Linked DNA regions of Canis lupus familiaris. The protein of the gene in region 1 interacts with the protein of each later gene in a pairwise test. Links are inferred from orthologs where the notes say so. Each region holds a gene or a part of one and is shown on either strand. Other genes may lie near its edges. The genes, in order: FCHSD2, ABCF3 and MTUS2.

Region 1 (6,023 bases):
GGTACCATGGGTACAGAGATGAGTAAGATAATCTTTGCATCCTTAAGAAATTTAAAGCCTAGAATTAAGTACAAGTGTGTTTAAAAGTAACTTTATGATTTGTTTGTTCACAGTAAACTCAAAGAAATTAAGTGCCTAAAGTCATTCAAGTAGTAATTAATATGTTTACTGTAGTTGTATGAAAACACTGCTTTCACTATTTCACAAACACTGCTTTGTAAGCATAGGAAATAGATTAATTTTGCCTAATGAGAAAGGAAACCTTTATAGAAGAAGTGGTATTTGGACAGTCTTGAAGAAGAAGTGAGAAAAAAAGATCAGGAAGGGGAAATGAAGACTGGACCACGTGTAGTTTTAGATGATTTAATAGACGGTGAAATGTGCACATTGAAGAGAGTGTAAAAAAGAAGAGGGATACTTTTTGAAAGGAAGAATGGGTTCCATTTTGGATATTCAGGTTCTGAAGAGCCTGTGGGACATTGACGTGAATAAATTTAGTAAGGAGTCTTTTTTTGCTTTGTTTTGTTTTGTTTTTTGTTTTAGTAAGGAATCTTATGTCTAACTCTCAGATGAGAATCTGGGCATAAAGATCTTACTTTGGGGGTTGGTTACCTATCAGAGGATGGTTATAGAGATGAAATCATATATAAGATGAGAAATTAAGTTGGGGGTCCTAAGGAGCGTTAACATTTGGAAGTAGGTGAGGAGGAGGAGTGTGCAGTACAATTCACTATCTGTATATATCTCATTTGTTGTAGATTATGATCTACATAGGAACTGTATCTATTACTAAGAGCATAGGAACTGTATTATTTTATCTGTTACTAATACCTTCTTAAATACTACACAAGAATTCTATGAGGATTAGCAAATGAAACAGAAACCAGGAACTTAAAACCTTATATCTGAAAATTCAGGTGCAATTCAGACTATTTGGATAATGACTACAAAAAAAGAGAGAGAGAGAGGAGAGAGAGAGAGAATTAAAAATACCCCAAGCAGTCTTTGTTAATCTTGAACAGGCTTTCTCAAATTTAAAAGTTTGTAGCCTTTTCTAGATCAAAATGAATAGGAATCTGATTAATAAAAACAGACAAAACCCCCAGGAAATATGAATATGGCAAGGTAGAAAATAACAGGAGTATATTGAACTCCTTTTTTTTTTTTTTTTTACCAGTGGGGAAGTAGTTAGGATGCATTAGTGTATGTCCCTGATTGTTTCTCTTTTGTTAGAAAGATGATAGGCTGTTTTTGCTATCCTCCTTGAATTTGCTCTGCAGAGACTTGTTTGTTCCACCCTACATTCCCAGGTGGTCTGCAGCTTTACTTTGTATTATGGCATAGCTTCCAGCACATGAACTGAATTCTCCCATGGTAATCACCATGACACTGCAGTCAAGACAAATATTGCAGCTTCAAAAATCACTGGTTGTGAGAGTGTTGTTATTCCTTACTGTTTGTCTGTTGACTTTCTCCTTCTGGTTATCTCTAGCTGTTTGGGTAAAACCAGCATATTTTAACTCTTGATTGTTAGATTATGGTTTCTTTCCCAAACTGAAAGGGATTGGAGGAAATAAGGGCATCAGAATGGGAAAAGATTAAACAGAACAAAATCATATAGGGCAGAGAGTCCAAGGACTTTCTCACTGTGTTTCAAGTAGTATGTTAAAATTGGAGGGAGCACACAAGGACCCAAACAGGAAGAAATTTAATGGGAGAAATAATGGAATTAAGGGCTTTCAAGAGCCTAATATCATACTGTAGGTTGAATTGCAGATGTTGTGACGTCCTATTGCAGATGGCCCTAAAAGCCTGCTAATTTTTGGCTCCATAGATTGGTTATCCCTAGGTTTCTTTAAGCTTTCTTGTAGGAACTAAAGTGTGTGTAATTATATGATACAGAGAGTAACTTATAGTTTGGTGGCTCTTGTTTATTAGGAGATACCAATATATTTGTCAAATTGTATTTTTGTCATTCAGAATATTTTTTATTAAATATCCCAATATTTCCTGTTGCACTGAAATATTCTTCCTATAGTAAAATAAAGGAAAATAATCATTGCTCTTGGTTTTCCATTTTTTAGTTCTCTTTTGGAATAGCATTGTGGAACAGTGTCACTGTTCCAAATTCCAAAATTTGGAATTATACTTAATAAGTTTAATATGATGTAATTTGATAACTTATTAAACATATTGTATTTTGTTTTATTATAGATCTAAACTTAGCCTTTTTCAATCAAGAATCAGTTTACAGAAGGCAAGTGTAAAGGTGAGTTTTTGAAAACTATATTTCACAATTGAGAAACCTTAGCTTATTAAGAAAGAATTGAGGTTTTTTTGAGGGTTGAAGGCAATTATTTCCACCTAATTTAGAGAAACATTTTTAAGTCATTAACTTAGAGAAGAAGTTTCCTTCCCAATTCATATGAGTTTTTCACCTAGATGTCAGCACTTTGGGTACTGCTTGCTTCTCAAGATTGCGGTAGAGATAGGTATCTGTATCTTAGCTGCTTAGGTAGTCTGTTGTCTATAACTCTTAGTCCAAAAGACTAGTCCATGGGCTTTAGAGATCTACAGAATCTATTTCATTCAGATTTACACCACTGAGCAGATATTCCGAATCAGATGCAAGTGAGATTTTTCCTCTGGGACCCTCAAGCTGTAGAATACCTGTTAAGTAAGTTTAGCGATCTGCCAGGATTCTAACTAGCATGAAGTTCTTTTAGCACATGAGGAGTGCTAATTTTTTAAAAAAGATATTCTAACTCCAACAGATTTACCCATGTCTTTAAAGAAAAGGCACTTAATTTGGGAGCCTTTATTTTCCCATCTGAATAAAAGGAGCAAAATACTTTGAAGTTTTCTGAGGAGCTTTGGGAGTATGTTAAGTATAAATAACAAATATGTGAAAACATTCTCACCATGTAATTCTTCAACTAAATAGTAATGAATATTTTTATATGTGAATAAATATTCACATGGTTATCTTTCCTCTTGTCAGGGAGCCATTAATTGCCAGCTAAAAATGGTATCCTCATATATTATACAGTACAATGTCAGTTTGCAATGATTTTTTTCTCTTATTACTATGTTTCAGTTAAAAGCCCGGCGATCTGAATGTAATTCTAAAGCTACCCATGCAAGGAATGATTACCTTCTTACATTAGCAGCCGCAAATGCACACCAGGATCGCTACTATCAAACAGATTTAGTTAACATTATGAAGGTAATACAGCCTTTATATCTGTGGTCATTTGTTTCATTAAAGACAAAAACAACTCATGAGTTGACTATTAGATAGATAGACTCTGTAGAAGAGCAACCAGGCTTCCTTGTAGTTCATTGAAGTTAATATTGTTTGTGTAACTTCTCTTTCAGGTAATTCTGAATTAATTCTTAATGTAAGAAAGTATTTAAAGCCAGATCACAGTAAAGGACTAACTATATTAGTCTCTAGCAGTGGCAGATATTTGCTGTATAATGGTTATCAATATATAAGATAGAAAATAGGATTATTTTTTTGAAGCTTAGATTTTTTTTTAATTTCATAATTTTATCTTTAATTGATATATAAACTTGTACGTTAATGTTTTATGCTTTGGAGGTACCCATGAGAAGAGAAAATATTTAGTAGTTATATGAAAATGTCTCTACCGTAGTTAACACTGAAGTATAGATAGATCATATTACACTTTCTTGGGTACTCAAACTTATTATTGGTTTTTGTCTGTTTATACATATATATGTATCTTTATTTTTCACTGAAGTAAAAGGAAAGTGGTGAAAAAGAAAACCTTTATAACCTACTACCAGATTTCCACTATTTCTGGTATACAATTTCTTTTTCTTTCTTCTTCTTCTTCTTTTTTTTTTTTTTTTTGATTTTATTTATTTATTTATTCATGAGAGACACAGAGAGAGAGAGAGAGAGAGGTAGAGACACAGGCAGAGGGAGAAGCAGACTCCATGCAGGGAGCCTGACGTGGGACTCGATGCCGGGTCTCTAGGATCACGCCCTGGGCTGAAGGCGGCACTAAACTGCAGAGCCACCTGGGCTACCCCCATTTCTGGTATACAATTTCTACATAGAGTGTGTCTCATTTTCTCCTGGCTTCTCGAGGACCCAAACATTTGATTATTTTATCTTTCTCTTGTATTTTCAACTCATCCTTTTCAAGCAGATTGTTCTTACTATCAAGACACATTAATTGAATTAATTGCTTTACAAACCGTAAGCATTGAGAATGGGGATGTAACAGGAGTAGGTGCTCTTTTTTCCTACTGTGGCTTCTAGGAAAGAGATAAATTCTGTCTAGAAAATATATAAGTTCTTTCCTCAAAAGTAGACAGGACATTTCCTGGTATCTTCAGGGAAAAACAGGAGTGATACAGAGCGTCAAACTGGGCTAAGGAGTATCCAGTTGCAAAATTTTTTCTTTCGTTTTTCGATATTGCCTGAACTCCTGTTTTCCTAGCTTCTATCCTGTTCAGAATTCTACTGGTTAGAGTACACGTGGTAAGAGAGACAGGGGATTGTTTTGACACCCCAGATGAGAATTCAGCATACATTTTCCCCTAATATGTTGGACCTAGAGGTTTAGGCATTTTAGTACCTTATTAGGTGTTACATGGTGCTTCAGATTTATAAGAACCAACTAGAGAATTGGCCTCCCATTATAATGTGGTTTCTCTAGGGAAATATATATGTATACTCAGTCTTAGACAACTCACACTTAAAGTTGTGATTCTCTGTATACTGTCTGTTAAAGCTGTTAACAATATATTTCCCCTTTCAATACATTAAATTGAACATATAGTTGAGGCAGCAACCAAAATAAAATCTGTTTTTTAAATTGAATCCAGAGCCAAAAAAAGAATTATTTCTTAATAAAGCCCTGTAGTCTTTGATTAAACTGGGAAAGGTATTATTTTGGGTATTATTTCGTGCCCTCTGCCCGAAACAAAAAGGGAGTTAATGGGCCTGGCCAGCTCTCAGATTATATATTTTTGAACTTGCTTCAAAGTCTTAATGCAGATATTTGATCAGCATTGGGCATGTTATGCTTCAGATTACTCATTTCATGAGACATTGCAAGGTACTGGTATGATAAAAATAGAGACAGGAGTCCTCTTTTGTCTCCTAAAAACAGACAAGAATATTCTCAGTTTTCATGTTGTGTGTATATTAATTCATTTTCTTCCTTATGTTAATTCTGTAGTCTGCAGTATTGGAAAACTGTCATCAATCATATTGTTAGCTACTTAGTAAGTTTCTATCATTGAATGGACAGTGGCCCTTCAGGGCCTTTCTTAGAAATGTCTTATTTTCTCAATTGTTGCTAAAGTTATAATACCTTAGGTAGAATCTTTTTAAAAAGTTGTATGTGGGGATCCCTGGGTGGCTCAGCGGTTTGGCGCCTGCCTTTGGCCCAGGGCATGATCCTGGAGTCCCGGGATCGAGTTCTGCATCGGGCTCCTGGCATAGAGCCTGCTTATCCCTCTGCCTGTGTCTCTGCCTCTCTCTCTCTCTCTCTCTCTCTCTCTCTCTATCATTTAAAAAAAAAAATCTTTAAAAAAAAAGTTATATGGATAGCTTGGAAGCAGATTTTGATTCATTGATTTAATCATATGCATTTAATAGTCACTTACAGTGTGGTAAGTACTAGACTACACTTTGGGAAGAAGCAAGGATGAGTAAGACACTTTATCCTCAAAGAGCTCTGTCTGGTGGAAGAGAGAAATACATAGAAATGATTACAAATTAGAATGATGAAATTACTGCTAGAGGACCCTAATTAGTAATATTAATACCTATCCTTTTTTTTTTTTCATTGCTTATACTCTGGCATTATCCTAATCACTTTAGGTTTATTATCCTTATCATTTTTTTTCCTGGTTAGAGTTCATAGTTCCTTGCTTAAATAGCACTCTGGCCTATAAATGAAATTCCAACTCAAGATAAACCCAGATAACCTCTTTCTTTGTACCTGCATCTAAGTAGCCAGGTACTACCGAAGACAATC
Region 2 (6,805 bases), on another chromosome or scaffold:
AGAAAGGAAGTACTGATATGTGCTACAACATGAAGGAACCTCAAAAACATTATGCTAAGTAAAATAAGTCAGGCACAAAACATCGTCATAGGATTCTGTTTATATGAAACGTCCAGGATAAGCAAATAGATTAGAGAAAGTAAACTAGTGATTGCCTAGGCCTGTGGGGAGCAATACTAATTTCCAACAATAGTATAAAATGCTCTGCTTTCCTGTTGGAGAGGAGACTAAAGCTGGTTTCTAGAAAAAGGGAGATCTAGAATGGGAGGACAAGGAGTGCCCTGCAAAACAAGAGAAGAAATTAAGAGAACAGAAGTCAGGGCCTGGTCAAGGGACCCTACTTACAGCTTCTCCAGCATCTTAAGTTTACTCTGCACTTGAGAGGCTCTGTTGGCATTGTAGCGAAACCGGTCAATGAAAACCTGTGGGTGGATAAATTTAGGCACTGGTCAGGTTCCCAACATTCCTGCAAACTCTAACACCCATGGGATGGGCCCCCCTCCCCCGCCCTGCCTGTCCCATATACCTGGATATGCTGGCGATACTGCTGCTGTGCCTCATATTCACGCTGCTGGTTGAGCAGCCGCTCCTGCTTGCTCTTGATGAAGGTCTCAAAGTCTCCCCGGTAGCCATCTAGCCGCTGGCTGTGCAGGTGGATGATGTCTGTGGCTATGGCATTCAGGAAGTTGCGGTCGTGGGAGACGACCAGGATTGTAGAGGGCCATGTCTGAGGGGTCACAGGATGGCAGGCCCAGTTTGAGATGGCAGTCATCTTTCAGCCCCCGCCCCAGTGTCTTAGAGGCAGACCTTCCCTAGACCTACTCTAGCATCTCTAGGCACTCACTTGCAGGTAATTCTCCAGCCACAGGATGGCCCTTACATCCAGCATGTTTGTGGGTTCTGGAAAAGTGTGGGAGGATACATTTGGGATGAAGAGCTGTAGAACCTGACTGAATATTTCCATCCTTCCCCATCCCAAAGTCAAGGTGCCCCATTTCAAACTCACCATCTAACAGAAGAAGATCTGGCCTATAGAAAAGAAGAATGTAAGCCTTGAGGTCTTAGGTCAGCAGCTTGTGACCTCCCATGAGCCAAGGCCCATCCTCCACAGTATCCACAATAGGCCCAGGAGACTCACCTAGCAAACAGAGCCCGGGCCAGGGCCAGTCGCATCCTCCAACCACCTGAGAACTCTCTAAAGAAACAAAACAAAACAAAACAAAACAAAACAAAAAACAGAGATCACATCAGGGATAGGTGTTCACCAGGATAGGTAGAGACAGAGCCAACAGTGTTCATGGCCAAGAATGGCAAGGGCCACTCACCGGGTGGGCTGCTGCTGCATTTTAGGGGTAAAGCCAAGCCCAGCAAGAATGACTGATGCCCTAGAAGTGAAGAGATTGAAGAACCTGGTTGAAACATGTAACAGAAGGGAAAGGTAAAATCTGAAAGAGGGAAGGGGAAATCTTAAATACCTGGCAGGTGCCTTGTCAGCCTCAATCTCCTCCAATTTGGCATATATTTCTGCCAACTGTGCAGCTTCTGAGCCCTCAGCCCTAAAGTGGGGATGGGAAAAAGAGCACTCAGCCTGAATGGGGGCACTCTAGGTGGAATGCCCCATAGTCTACGCAGTTAGAAAGCAGACCACTGACTGCCTGTTGCCAGGACAGGAACAGACTACAGGAAGCACCTGTTCAAGTCAGTGAGGGCAGTGGGCACTGTGGAAGGAACAGGGCTTTATAGCTCCACGGTGCCAAGTTCTAAGTTCTGCTGCTAAGATGAGCGTGCAAGTTATGGATTGTGGCAGTATGACAGGTACTCTGCAAAGAAGAGCCATGGATGCCAGGTGCTCCCCACCTGGAGTGCTTACCTGCCAGTAGCAATCTGTGCGCTGAGCTCCCGCTCCCTCTGCAGAAGGTCCTCTCTTACAGTGTCACTTTCTAGCACACTCTGCAGGGCAGGAGTGTCATCTCCAGCAACCTCCTGCTCCACGTGCAGTAGGGAAATGTGGGCTGGAACTCGCAGGCTCCGAGTGGCCAACATCTTCAGGAGTGTCGTCTTCCCCAGCCCATTTCGCCCCACCAGCCCATAGCGGCGGCCCCATGCCAGGTTCACATCTGCTCCAGCCAATAGTACCCTGCAGGGGTAGGAACAAGACAAAGGATGCTGCTCTAGAGGAACAAGACAAAGGGTGCTGCTCTAGAGACAGGTATATAGCAAATTTAACCACAAAACCTAATGTTATTTTAACCCTGTTTCATCTGTCCAAATTCTTTTAATTGGAAAAAGAAAAGTGCACCCCCCTGCCCCCCCACACACACTGCCACTCCCTCACCTATCACCAAAAGACACATCAAAGTTCTCGATTCGCACATCATATGATTTGTTCTTGCCAGATGATTCCAACCGACTCTCCTTTCTGCTGCCTGCCTGGCTGGCTGATGCCTCTTCCAAGACTCTTTCAAAGAGAGAAATGGATGGCTTTTAGCACTCCCAGCCACCCTTCCATTCCAACAGACTGCTCTATTCTCTTCTCAGCCCTTCTTGCTCAACTCACAGAGGAGTGCTGGTCTTAAGTGTGTCCTTCTCTGAGCGCTTCTCCTGCTTTGCCTTCAGTCGAGCCTCAGCCTTCTCTAGCTTCTTTGCATTCACTGTCTTAAAGGTCCAAACACAACCATTTCAGCCTAGGTTGTAGGCTCAGAAAGGAGCCCCAGAAAGAGCATCTTAAGTCACCCTGCTTTCAGGGAAAGACATAATCAGAAACCCCCCAGAAAGATCCTCCAGTATTTACAGTCAACCTTCACCCCTACCAGAGACCCCCCCCCCCTTCTTCCTCCTCCTCCTCCTCCTCACCGAGGACTGTTCCCTCTTTAGCAGTCCTGGAAGTTTGGTGCCACAGTCTGTAAGCGATAAGAAAAGCAGTCACCTTCTCCCTGAGGGAAGGGAAACTAACATTTTGAGTAACTAATATGAAGCAGGCACAGACACAGACATTTCAAGGAAAGTCTCACAATCCCAGAAATAGCTATCATCTGCCCCATACTTCAAAAATGAAAATAAAAAACACCTCCCAGATTGAGAATACAGAGACTGGGGCTGATAAGCAACTCTTAGAAGCTCGTGCAGCTGATTAGAAAGTCACAAAATTGGGAAATAAACCTAAGTCGGTCCAGCTCCAAGGCCCATAAGCTTCCTACCCCACCTAATAGCTTGGAGAACTCTCCAGCCCTACTCCCTTTATTAGTGGCCTTCTTTGCCCTCAGTGAAAACGTCAACTAGCTACTACATCCTTCTTGTGAGGAAAAGGGGTACCAAGAGTCCTGGGTTCCAGGGGATAGCTGCCTGGGTGGGGGGTGGAGGCTGAGACAAAGGCGGAGAGCAGCTAGTTCAGTCTTCCCTCAGTCTCACCGTAGTTTTCTGTTATCTTTGACAACTGGATGGGGGCGTCTAGTAGCACCTGGCTGTTTCCCTGGGTCTGAGGCTCATCCCTTAAGGGCAGGAACAGAAAGTGCAGTCAGGAACTGAATAAAAAGCTCTGCGGCCACCAGATCTTCTTCCCTTACGTCTTGTCTCTTGACCGTCCACCTTCCCACCGCCCCCACGAGCCCCCCTACCCTGGCACGTACAGGCGCAAAGTGTTGTACATGCGCTGGCACACAGCCCGGATACCCGCGTCATCCTTGCTGTCCCCGGACACCTCCTGCAACAGTTCCCCCACCGCTTCCACCAGGTCATCCACAGACTCGAAATCCGCGCTGCCGCTATGCAGGACGCCTGGGCCGGGCATGGCGGGTCAAGGAAGATACAGGGAAGGGCGGACATACAAGCGGTTTTAGTCCCCGAGCCACGCAAGGCCCCGGTCCGGGCTCCAGACCTAACCGGCCCTCTGGACGAGAGGTCACGCAGAGGAGAGGCCTAGCAGCGGTCCCCGGCACCACCCTCCCTCAGTCTTTCTCCCACTGGTTTCCATCTCGGCTTCGCCAGCGCACGGATCCGGTTCGGCTCACCCGTCACGTAGTCGAAGACCTGTCCGTCAATTTCGGGGAACTCGCTCCGCAGGATTTCAGCGCAAGTCGCCATGTTCCGGTCGGGCTCCCGTCCGCGCAGGCGCAGTTAGACCGCAGCCCAGACGCGCCTCCCGCCGGTCTCCCAAGAGCTCGCCTCTCCTTCCAAAGCGCATGCGTGGTGATGACGTAAGAAAGGCGCGGAGTGCCCGGAACCCCGTGGACCGGGTGGACGGGGCTGGGGGAACCGTGCGCAAGCGCCACTCAGAGCCTACGCTAGAGCTTCTCTCTCTGCGCTTGCGCAACGCTGTTTCCGCTGAAAAATTAGCCACATGTGCGGTTCTCGCTGCCTTCTGGGAGGCAGAGTTCCGAGAGGCGGCGGCGGCGGGGGCGGGGTGCACGGGAGCTCGCGGCTTATCAGGGCGCGATACACTGATGGTCCGGCGGGCGGGAACCTCCCAAGAGTCGGGCGGTTGATAATGCGCACGGGTCTCGCTAGATCCTCTGCATTCCCTTAAGCGCGTCTGTCTCATCGCGCCCAGCTGGCCGGTTTTGGGGGCCACCGAGAGCTTTGCTGACTCATGCTCGTCTCTAAGCTGTCTGAAGTCCGCTGCGCAGTTCTGGCGGCCCACCGGTTTTGTTCTGGGCCCCGGGACCTGCGGACCGGGCTTCTAGTATCCGTGTGGCCAGCCTCATCACCCCTGACAGTTCGGCAGTCCTAACGTCGCCCAAGGGCACAAGCTCACTTAGCGCCAAAGGGCAAGAAAATGAGATCCGCCAGTGCAAATTCATTGGTATTTATTCCGTTCCTACTCACTCAAAACAGACTTCTCGGCACCAGTAAGCTCAGTAAGCGAGCGTATAGAGCTACTTTGTTTCACGGATTCCCTCTAGAAGTTAGGAATTTCCCCCAAATGACGCTGCTTTACATTTAACGTGACATTTACATTTACCGTAACCTAGCTCTAAGATTTTCACCTAAGGTCTATTATCCTTTTGCCATTGAGAAGATTCAGTCCAACTATTTAAAAAGCTGAGGGGCCTGACTTGCTCAGTCCGAGAAGCATGCGACTCTTGATTTCAGGGTTGTGAGTTTGAGCCCCATAGTGGATGTAGAAATTAAATAAAACTTTAAGGGATCCCTGGGTGGCGCAGCGGTGTGGCGCCTGCCTTTGGCCCAGGGCGCGATCCTGGAGACCTGGGATCGAATCCCATGTCGGGTTCCCGGTGCAGGGAGCCTGCTTCTCCCTCTGCCTATGTCTCTGTGTGTGACTATCATAAATAAATTAATTAATTAAAAAAATAAAACTTTAAAAAACAAAGCTTAAAAAGCTAAGCTACTAGATCTAGCAACCACTTTATGGGCGATAGAAAGGAATTCTGATGGGGAAACTACAAATGATGGCTTCTTCAACAGTATTCCAAGAGCTGAAGGGTAGTAGAACCTATGGTTTATAAGATTTAAAAAGTGAGAGGGGTGCCTGGGTGGCTCAGCTGGTTAAGTGTTGGATTCATGATTTCCACTTAGGTCTTGATCTTAGGATCATGAGATTGAGTCCCACATTGTGCTCCACGCTGGGCAAGGAGCCTGATTAAGAGCCTCTCCACTCTCCCTCTGCCCCTTTCCTGCTCCCTTCCTCAAATAGATGATAGATAGATAGATAGATAGATAGATAGATAGATAGATAGATAGATAGATAGATAGATAAAGATACCTAGATTAGATAGATTGCATTCACTGACCACAATGGACCTTTAGATCCAGATGCAAGTTGTAAAAAATTCCACAGGACTCTTAAGTGTGCCATGAGTTGATAATTGTTAAAATTGAATGACAGGACCTGAAGGTTCACTGGATCTTGATACTTCTATTTATATTTGAAATTTTCTCTAATAGATTTTTTTAAGGTTTAAAACAGTTGGAGCCAAACAAGGGAAAGATGATGACAGCAAATTTGCTTTTATCTGCTCCAACACACAGCAGGGCATGGAATATTCCCTGTAAGAACAAGCTTATCACAAAATTCTTTGGACAGGGAAGTTATAGAAAGGAGAATCCCTTTTATCACCCACTCACCAATGTTTGGAAAGCTTGAGTAATAGGGAAGAGGACAGAACTGAGAGGTCAGTTTCTTAGGACGGTGGGAAAAATAAAAACAAATGTAAACCTTGCTCAATCTCTAATTAAAAAATACCTGCTTAGGGACATCTGGGTGGCTCAGCGGTTGAGCATCAGCCTTTGGCTCAGGGTCTGCCTATGCCTCTGCCTCTCTGTGTCTCTCATGAATAAATAAATAAAAATCTTAAAAAAAAAAAAAAAGGAGAAAAAGAAAATACCTGCCTAAAACTGAAAGTGAATGAGGAAAAGAATCTCCACTCTCTGGGAACTGGGACCAGGTGGAGCTGCTTGCCCTTCAGATTGTGTTTTGCGGGGGGAGGGGAGACAGGAGACCGGGGGTAACACCAGTCAGGATAAAGGCTTGGATGACCTCAAGGGGCCTAACAGTTGAGACATGACAAGAGAAGAGCCTTAAGAGAGTTCAGAATATAAACTTCTACTCATAGCAGGCAGCATAAGATCTGGGAAGAGAAATACCATCAGTTCCCCTCCCCATCAAGCTCCCGCAAGAACACTTAGCAACTCCGCTCTACAGAGTTTATTGGGTTTATAACTGGACGAAGTCACACGTGTACAAAATGAAGCTCACACTATCCCAAAGCAGAATAGGGATTGAGGGCTGGGGATCCGTTACTGGCCTTTGGGGGAGCTCCGAGGTGAGGGGCAGCCAACCCTCCCACTC
Region 3 (6,023 bases), on another chromosome or scaffold:
GGTGATTACAAAATGGTGACTTTTTTTCTAACGGTATGATTTTTCTTATGTTAGTTGGTATTATTCTGTGAAGAAGAACTTTTCCTTCTCCTCCAGCCTTTTATATCAGTATAAGTATGAACCTGTGGATATTTTAAATTTGAATTTAAGATTTAATATGTTTTATAATCCATTTCTAACATTAATCATTTTATGTTTTAATTTCTCCATAGTTGGCCAGCAGGCACACTATCAGAAAGGTTTCGGAGAAATTTATGGACTGAGTGAATGAAATAATAATATGAAAATTATGAATAAATCTGTATTTTCCATGCTTTTTTCTCCTGAGAACCTCTATTTGTCAGTGCCAATAACATGATTTTATTTTTATTTTTCTCTAGGTCTTATGGACTAATTGGCTCTCATTCAGCAGGAACCTAACAGATAAGTCATCCTGCTGTATGTCAAGACAATGCTTGGTTTTAAGACTGCTCTGAAAATGATTAAAGTGGTATTGCAATGTGACATTGTCAGGGGGCAAGAAGCAGCTTGAGAATTTCCCATTAATCAAATAGCCTTGAAGGAAACTTCTTTCCATTAGGTAGGACTGCATGGCCAGCAGCCCCCACTGAAGGGTTGAAAATGAGTGTCCCAGTGGCTCCGAAGAAATCATGTTACGCTCAGTTGCGGGACAACAGAAATGGAGTGAAAAATAATAATGAGAGTATCCTAAGTCTGGGGGATACAAATGCCAATCAAATCATGTTGGAGGTCAGTTCCTCTCATGATGAGTCCGAGACACGTGACCTGACAGATGAAATTGGAAATGCAAATTCAAGCGAGCCAGAGAATAGTACCCATTTCAATAAGGAATTTCACCAATTTCAGGGCTTTGGGAAAGGATCGCAGGCTGGCCCTACCAGTCTGAAAGATTTTAAATTTTCCCTGACCGTCCACGGAGGACTACATGACGAGCACACAACGGAGAGAGGCACAGATATCCTCCAGACCCCTCGCAGTGTTCAGGGACCAAGTCTGTCAACTTGGAGGAATGTTATGGCTGAGGCCAGTCCAGAGGTTTTGGCTAAAAGGGATGCTGAACTTCCCCGGCATGCTCCTAAGGATAAGTTGGCAAAGACCCTTGACAATGAGGAATTGCGAAGGCATTCTTTGGAAAGAGCGAGCAGCTCTGCCGTTGTAGCAGATGTTCCCATGAAGGAGCACGGTGGAAGCCTTGGTGGGAGCCTGACCTGGCAGCGTCTGCAGCCTGCGCCACTGGACTCCCCTGAAGCCCTGCGTCCTGAGCCCAGTGGCAGGGAGGGGCCACAGAAGATGTTGACAGCCCCCTCTCGAGGAGCAGCTTCTCCTCCAGCTGACAGTACCTCAGAAGGAAAGAGCGTGTGTCATCCTAAACCATCTACCTCAGCAACCAAGGAGACCACCCCTGTAGAGACCCAGAGGGAGAGGGCACAGGGCCCAGACTTGAGCAATGAGAGCACATCACATTCTGCCCATCCAGAGCCTGGTCTGGATTCAGCCTCAGCACTGAAGGGGGTCCTGAGGAAGCCAGAAGCACAATTAGGTCAGGGGAAGGGAGAGCTCAAGCCGGAGCTGAAATTTGTCCAAGCCAGGGCTGTGCAGGAGTTCAAGGCAATCCAGGCCGAGTGTCTGGGGTGCCCAAAGGAAGGTGGCATGTTACCCCTCGAAAGAAAGGATCCAGGTGGGAAAGCACAGCAGGAGGCTGCCACCGGGGCACGTAGCCTGTCACACAGCAGTGTGCACCCCATTGGTGTGGGAAGAGGCAGGAGTGAGCAAGACAAGAGAGCAGGCCACCTGGGTGAGGAGGATTCTCTCCAGACCACCCCCACGCAAGGCCCTGCTTCCTTGGCAGCTGCTGATAAGCAGCCCTCTGGCAGCATTTCAGCAAGCACAGCTAGGAAGTTGGATGAAGTGGCGTCTGGCAGCATTTCGTCAGGTGATGGGCATGTATCTTTTATTCCCTATGACCTACCTGACAGCAGGCCCTCAGATGTCAGTGAGGAGAGAGTACTGGACAGTGGGAACGTAGTCAGTGCTGCGGCTTGTGGTTCAGACCCTTCTGTTGGAGAGAACAGCCCGGGGGTCCCTGAGCCCCTTGGCCCTCAAAGCAGCAGCCCAGAAGTAGGTGACCACAAAGAGAGCACGACATCTGTCGCAGAAGATAGGAACATTCTAGAAAAGGCAACTGAGACTGAAAGCACCCTGGGGAGAGCAGGGGCTCTTCTCAGTGGCCCGGCACCCTTCCATCCAGAGACAACTGTGAATGTGACCCACCAGCCTCCACCACCTAGTGGCGGTGTTCAGGACCTAGACGCATTGGGTGCAGATGCCAGGTCACCCTCAGCCACTGCACCCCCCACTGACAGTGCATGGTTGTTGAACACCCCCCTGAAAGTGCCTGACAAGAGCACCTGCCCCAGTGGGATCCCTGAGCCTGTCTTCCTGCATCCTGAGGACACCCCTTCCTCACAGGAGGGAGTGGAGAACCACCAGGTTGAAAAAGTAGAAGAGAGGACAGAACCCAAGCCCATCATTCTGCCCAAGCCCAAGCATGTGAGGCCCAAGATCATCACCTACATCCGGAGGAGTCCTCAGGCCCTCGGCCAAGTGGACACTTCACTGCTTCCAGTGGGGCTTCCTTATGCTCCACCCACATGTGCCATGCCTCTTCCCAAAGAGGAGAAGGCAGCAAGTGGTGAGCTAAAGCCGCCTGCCAGTCTCTATGAGAAATACAAGCCGGACTTGCAAAAGCCACGAGTGTTCAGTTCTGGGTTGATGGTGTCTGGGATCAAGCCCCCAGGGCACCATTTCAGTCAGATGAGTGAAAAGTTTTTACAGGAGGTAAGAGATTGTCATTGTGATATGATCTTTAAGTTAAACACTGTAAAGTTTGTAGGTGTTTTCTTTGGGAACTGTGAACACAATGTCCTCCCTTAGCAAATTGCAGATTTTGATGAATCCACTGGCACAGAAATGGATGTTCTTAACTAGAGGGAGGAGCTTGTGGACAAATGGACATTTTTGATGAAGAGAGTGTGATGATCGTGGTGAGGTACAGCTGACATCTAAGGAGACTCATTTAAATTCCACTCAGTATAATACATGTGAGGTTAATTAAGTATGCACTTAAATTGGCTTCCATGTTTAAGTGAGCATAAGTCTTGTATAAACCAGATCAGTGAGGAGAGGAGGGTAAGTCCAAAATAAATATATTGTTCAAAGTGGTCTGACTTCATGTTCTCAGGGGGAATATTTTCTTTATGGAAAGATATTCATATTCATACATGGGAAAAACACAGTGGGTAGCAAATAATGTGTTAGGCATGGGCTCTTTGTTTTGAGTCAAAATAATAATTACAACTGACATTTAGTTGAGCACCTACTATGCTTCAAGCCCACACAACATAACATTTCATCTTTATCTATCTTCACTAGTCCTTGTAGTGATTTTCTGGAGGTTGAGATTATAGTTTTTATCATTGTCTAGATGAAGAAACAGCTTTGGAGGGATTTATGTAACTCAGTTAAAGCCACAGAACAAGGATAGTGTGGAGATGTTCTTCTATGTCCTCCCAATTTTGTGACTGGGCTGTCCTTTACATTACTGGGTGCTGTGGTAAGTTGTCCTCCCAGAGCTCAGAAAGTAGGTTTGTCTCCCAAAGCAACCTCCTCATGGCAGCTAGGCAAGTGTTCAGTTGGAAGGAAAGCCAGGTCAGATCACTCCTCTCCCTAACATCCTTCAGGTCAGCCAGGCCACTCAGAACACAAGCTTAAGCATGTAGGAAGGCTCAGCTTTTAGAATGGACTCAGTCTGTCTCTCTAACCTCCCCAACCCCCTCTCCTTCCTTGGCTCACCTCCTCTCCCTCTTCTGCCTCAGGATCTTTGCACTTCCTTGTGTTTAGAATTTTCTTCTTCCAGATATCTCAGTGGCTGTCACCTTTATTTTCTATTTCTGTTCAAGTGTCACTTCATTGGAGAGACACCTCACCTTCTCTGAGACCCCTTTCCTTGTTGATTTTTTTCTTAGTGCTTATCTCCATCTGGTGTATATACTTTTTCTGTTTTTGGTGCATCAACTAGAATGTAAAATCCATGAGAACAGGGAATTTTTTTCTGTTTTTTTTTTGTTTGTTTGTTTTGTTGTTCTCTGCTGGGTCCCCAGAGTTTAGAACAGTGTTTGACATAAATACGTCGTCAGTAAATGTTGAATGACAGCAGAATTAAGAACTCGTGTATGTTGGCTCCAAACAAAAGGCAACTGAAGCTTCTGAGAGATAGAAAACCTAAGTCCAAAGTTGGACCTTAGGTTGATTGAATATACTGACATATTTACAGAGTGTACTTATTACACTAGAAGTTGTCAGCTCTTACACAGCAAAAGAGGTGAATCTATTCTAAGCAGCAGATCTTGCCCAAGGCTAGCACTCACTTGCCCCAGCAGCTGATCATCTGTTTTGCCCTGGGGCAGTCTGTGAGCTCTAGATCACACAGCTCCCTCGCTGTCTCTGACTCCGGGCCTGCTGGAGAGAGGCTTCCCACCTCTCATCTCTGCAGAGAGAACACTAACTGGAGAGTCTGGGGACTCAGTCTTTTTGGCAGGGGCTCATTTCGCCATACAGGGCTGCATGCTGTCCTGTTTTATGTGGGCTTCTCACATAAGGGCCTGCAGCAAAAGGATGTTCTGGCCAAAGGACATGAAGGGTCTGGCTGTGTAGGCAGTGGCATGTCACACAGTGGACAGGTTGCCATTCTGGTCTTATACATCAGTCTCTGAGCTTGGTTAATGTGAGTTTTTCTCAAATTTCTAAAACCTTAACCACGACCTCCAAGGCTAAGGATCAGGCTCTCTTTAGGCTCTTTGCTAAGGCTGGGGTGCTCCTTGTGAGGCCTTTAAAAGGCAGACATCTTATCCTCCCCAGGGCTGCTAGGACCAAAGCTGGTTAAATAACCAGACTCTCTTTCTTCTCATTGAATCACTGCAGAAGGAACCAATTTGTGCAAGATTAGGCCCTCAAATCTGGCATGATAGAGTATCTCTCTGACAAGCACACCCAGGGAGACAGTGATGAGAGCTAACCCTCAGCTGGCTTCCCTATAGCCACTAGGATGACTCCCCTGGTTACCAAGCACATTGGAGTTACCTTTACCTTTTCTATAACTTGTACCAACACGCCCACCTAAGTTCTTTCATTTGTACCATTCCTTCAAATAAATTAATTTGGTTCCTTCCCCCACCCCCCCAAAAGATCCCCTAGATTTTTCTCTGCAATAATGCATTCACAAGAGAAATTTTATGTGGACATGTCGGCACACATCTTGTTACCATCTGCAGTTCTTTCTCTGTGACCCTTACTGATTTTGGTTTTGTGTATGTCTTTTCTGTATTGTTTCTGCTCCATCCATAAAATATAGAATAATTTTGGAGCACCAGGGTGGTTCAGTCAGTTGAGAGTCCTGGGATTGAGCCTATGGATTCCCTCTCCCTCTGCTGCTCCCCCTGTTTGTACTCACTCACTCTCTCTCTCTCTCTCTGTCTTTTAAAAATAAACAGAATAATTTCTAAGTTTTATGTATACTTTTCCCCCAAGTATTTCCTATTCTTAATCCTCTAGCAGCTACTTGAGTCTCAGAGAAATGGGACAGTGTGAATGCTTCTGTGGTGTTAGTAGTTCTGAGAGGTTTGGAGAGGCCCCATTGGTGGGGGCGACAGTGCCACTGTGCACCAGCCACTCTGTCTGGGGACTGTTTCCTTCACAATCGAAGTGTCCAAGGCCTAGGCCCTATCTACAGGCTACCAGACGGAGCAGAGAAGCCCCATGGGTCCTGGGCTAATTCCTGCCATAATCCTCTTTTAATCGATAGGCTGGCCCTTGGCCTTTGCTCCTAGAGCTGTAACTAGATGTAAGCCTGTGAGTCCCCTTCCTGTGTTCAGGCTTGGTGCAGGGAGGTTCCAGTGCCCCTCCCCTGCCAGTGTGCCCTGCCTGGTTACAGGATGGATTCAGCC

Evidence for each region.
Region 2: the proteins of FCHSD2 (region 1) and ABCF3 interact in binary tests that used the Homo sapiens proteins (3 or more experiments, as listed by UniProt). The two-hybrid records come from large-scale screens. The link is inferred for Canis lupus familiaris from reciprocal best matches to the Homo sapiens genes FCHSD2 and ABCF3.
Region 3: the proteins of FCHSD2 (region 1) and MTUS2 interact in binary tests that used the Homo sapiens proteins (3 or more experiments, as listed by UniProt). The two-hybrid records come from large-scale screens. The link is inferred for Canis lupus familiaris from reciprocal best matches to the Homo sapiens genes FCHSD2 and MTUS2.

The regions. Positions count from the first base shown.
Region 1 is NC_049242.1:25,368,543-25,374,565, forward strand, and holds part of FCHSD2 (F-BAR and double SH3 domains protein 2), read left to right. Parts: intron 1-2,214; coding exon 2,215-2,269; intron 2,270-3,097; coding exon 3,098-3,226; intron 3,227-6,023. UniProt on the Homo sapiens protein: Adapter protein that plays a role in endocytosis via clathrin-coated pits. Contributes to the internalization of cell surface receptors, such as integrin ITGB1 and transferrin receptor.
Region 2 is NC_049255.1:17,251,839-17,258,643, reverse strand, and holds the start of ABCF3 (ATP-binding cassette sub-family F member 3), read right to left. Parts: upstream 4,170-6,805; 5' UTR 4,081-4,169; coding exon 4,008-4,080; intron 3,775-4,007; coding exon 3,627-3,774; intron 3,489-3,626; coding exon 3,409-3,488; intron 2,934-3,408; exon of another isoform or gene 2,901-2,933; coding exon 2,854-2,900; intron 2,656-2,853; coding exon 2,558-2,655; intron 2,459-2,557; coding exon 2,336-2,458; intron 2,138-2,335; coding exon 1,871-2,137; intron 1,557-1,870; coding exon 1,476-1,556; intron 1,386-1,475; coding exon 1,326-1,385; intron 1,196-1,325; coding exon 1,139-1,195; intron 1,030-1,138; coding exon 1,007-1,029; intron 901-1,006; coding exon 845-900; intron 728-844; coding exon 527-727; intron 423-526; coding exon 346-422; intron 1-345.
Region 3 is NC_049246.1:10,818,768-10,824,790, reverse strand, and holds part of MTUS2 (microtubule-associated tumor suppressor candidate 2), read left to right. Parts: intron 1-380; 5' UTR 381-621; coding exon 622-2,859; intron 2,860-6,023. UniProt on the Homo sapiens protein: Binds microtubules. Together with MAPRE1 may target the microtubule depolymerase KIF2C to the plus-end of microtubules. May regulate the dynamics of microtubules at their growing distal tip.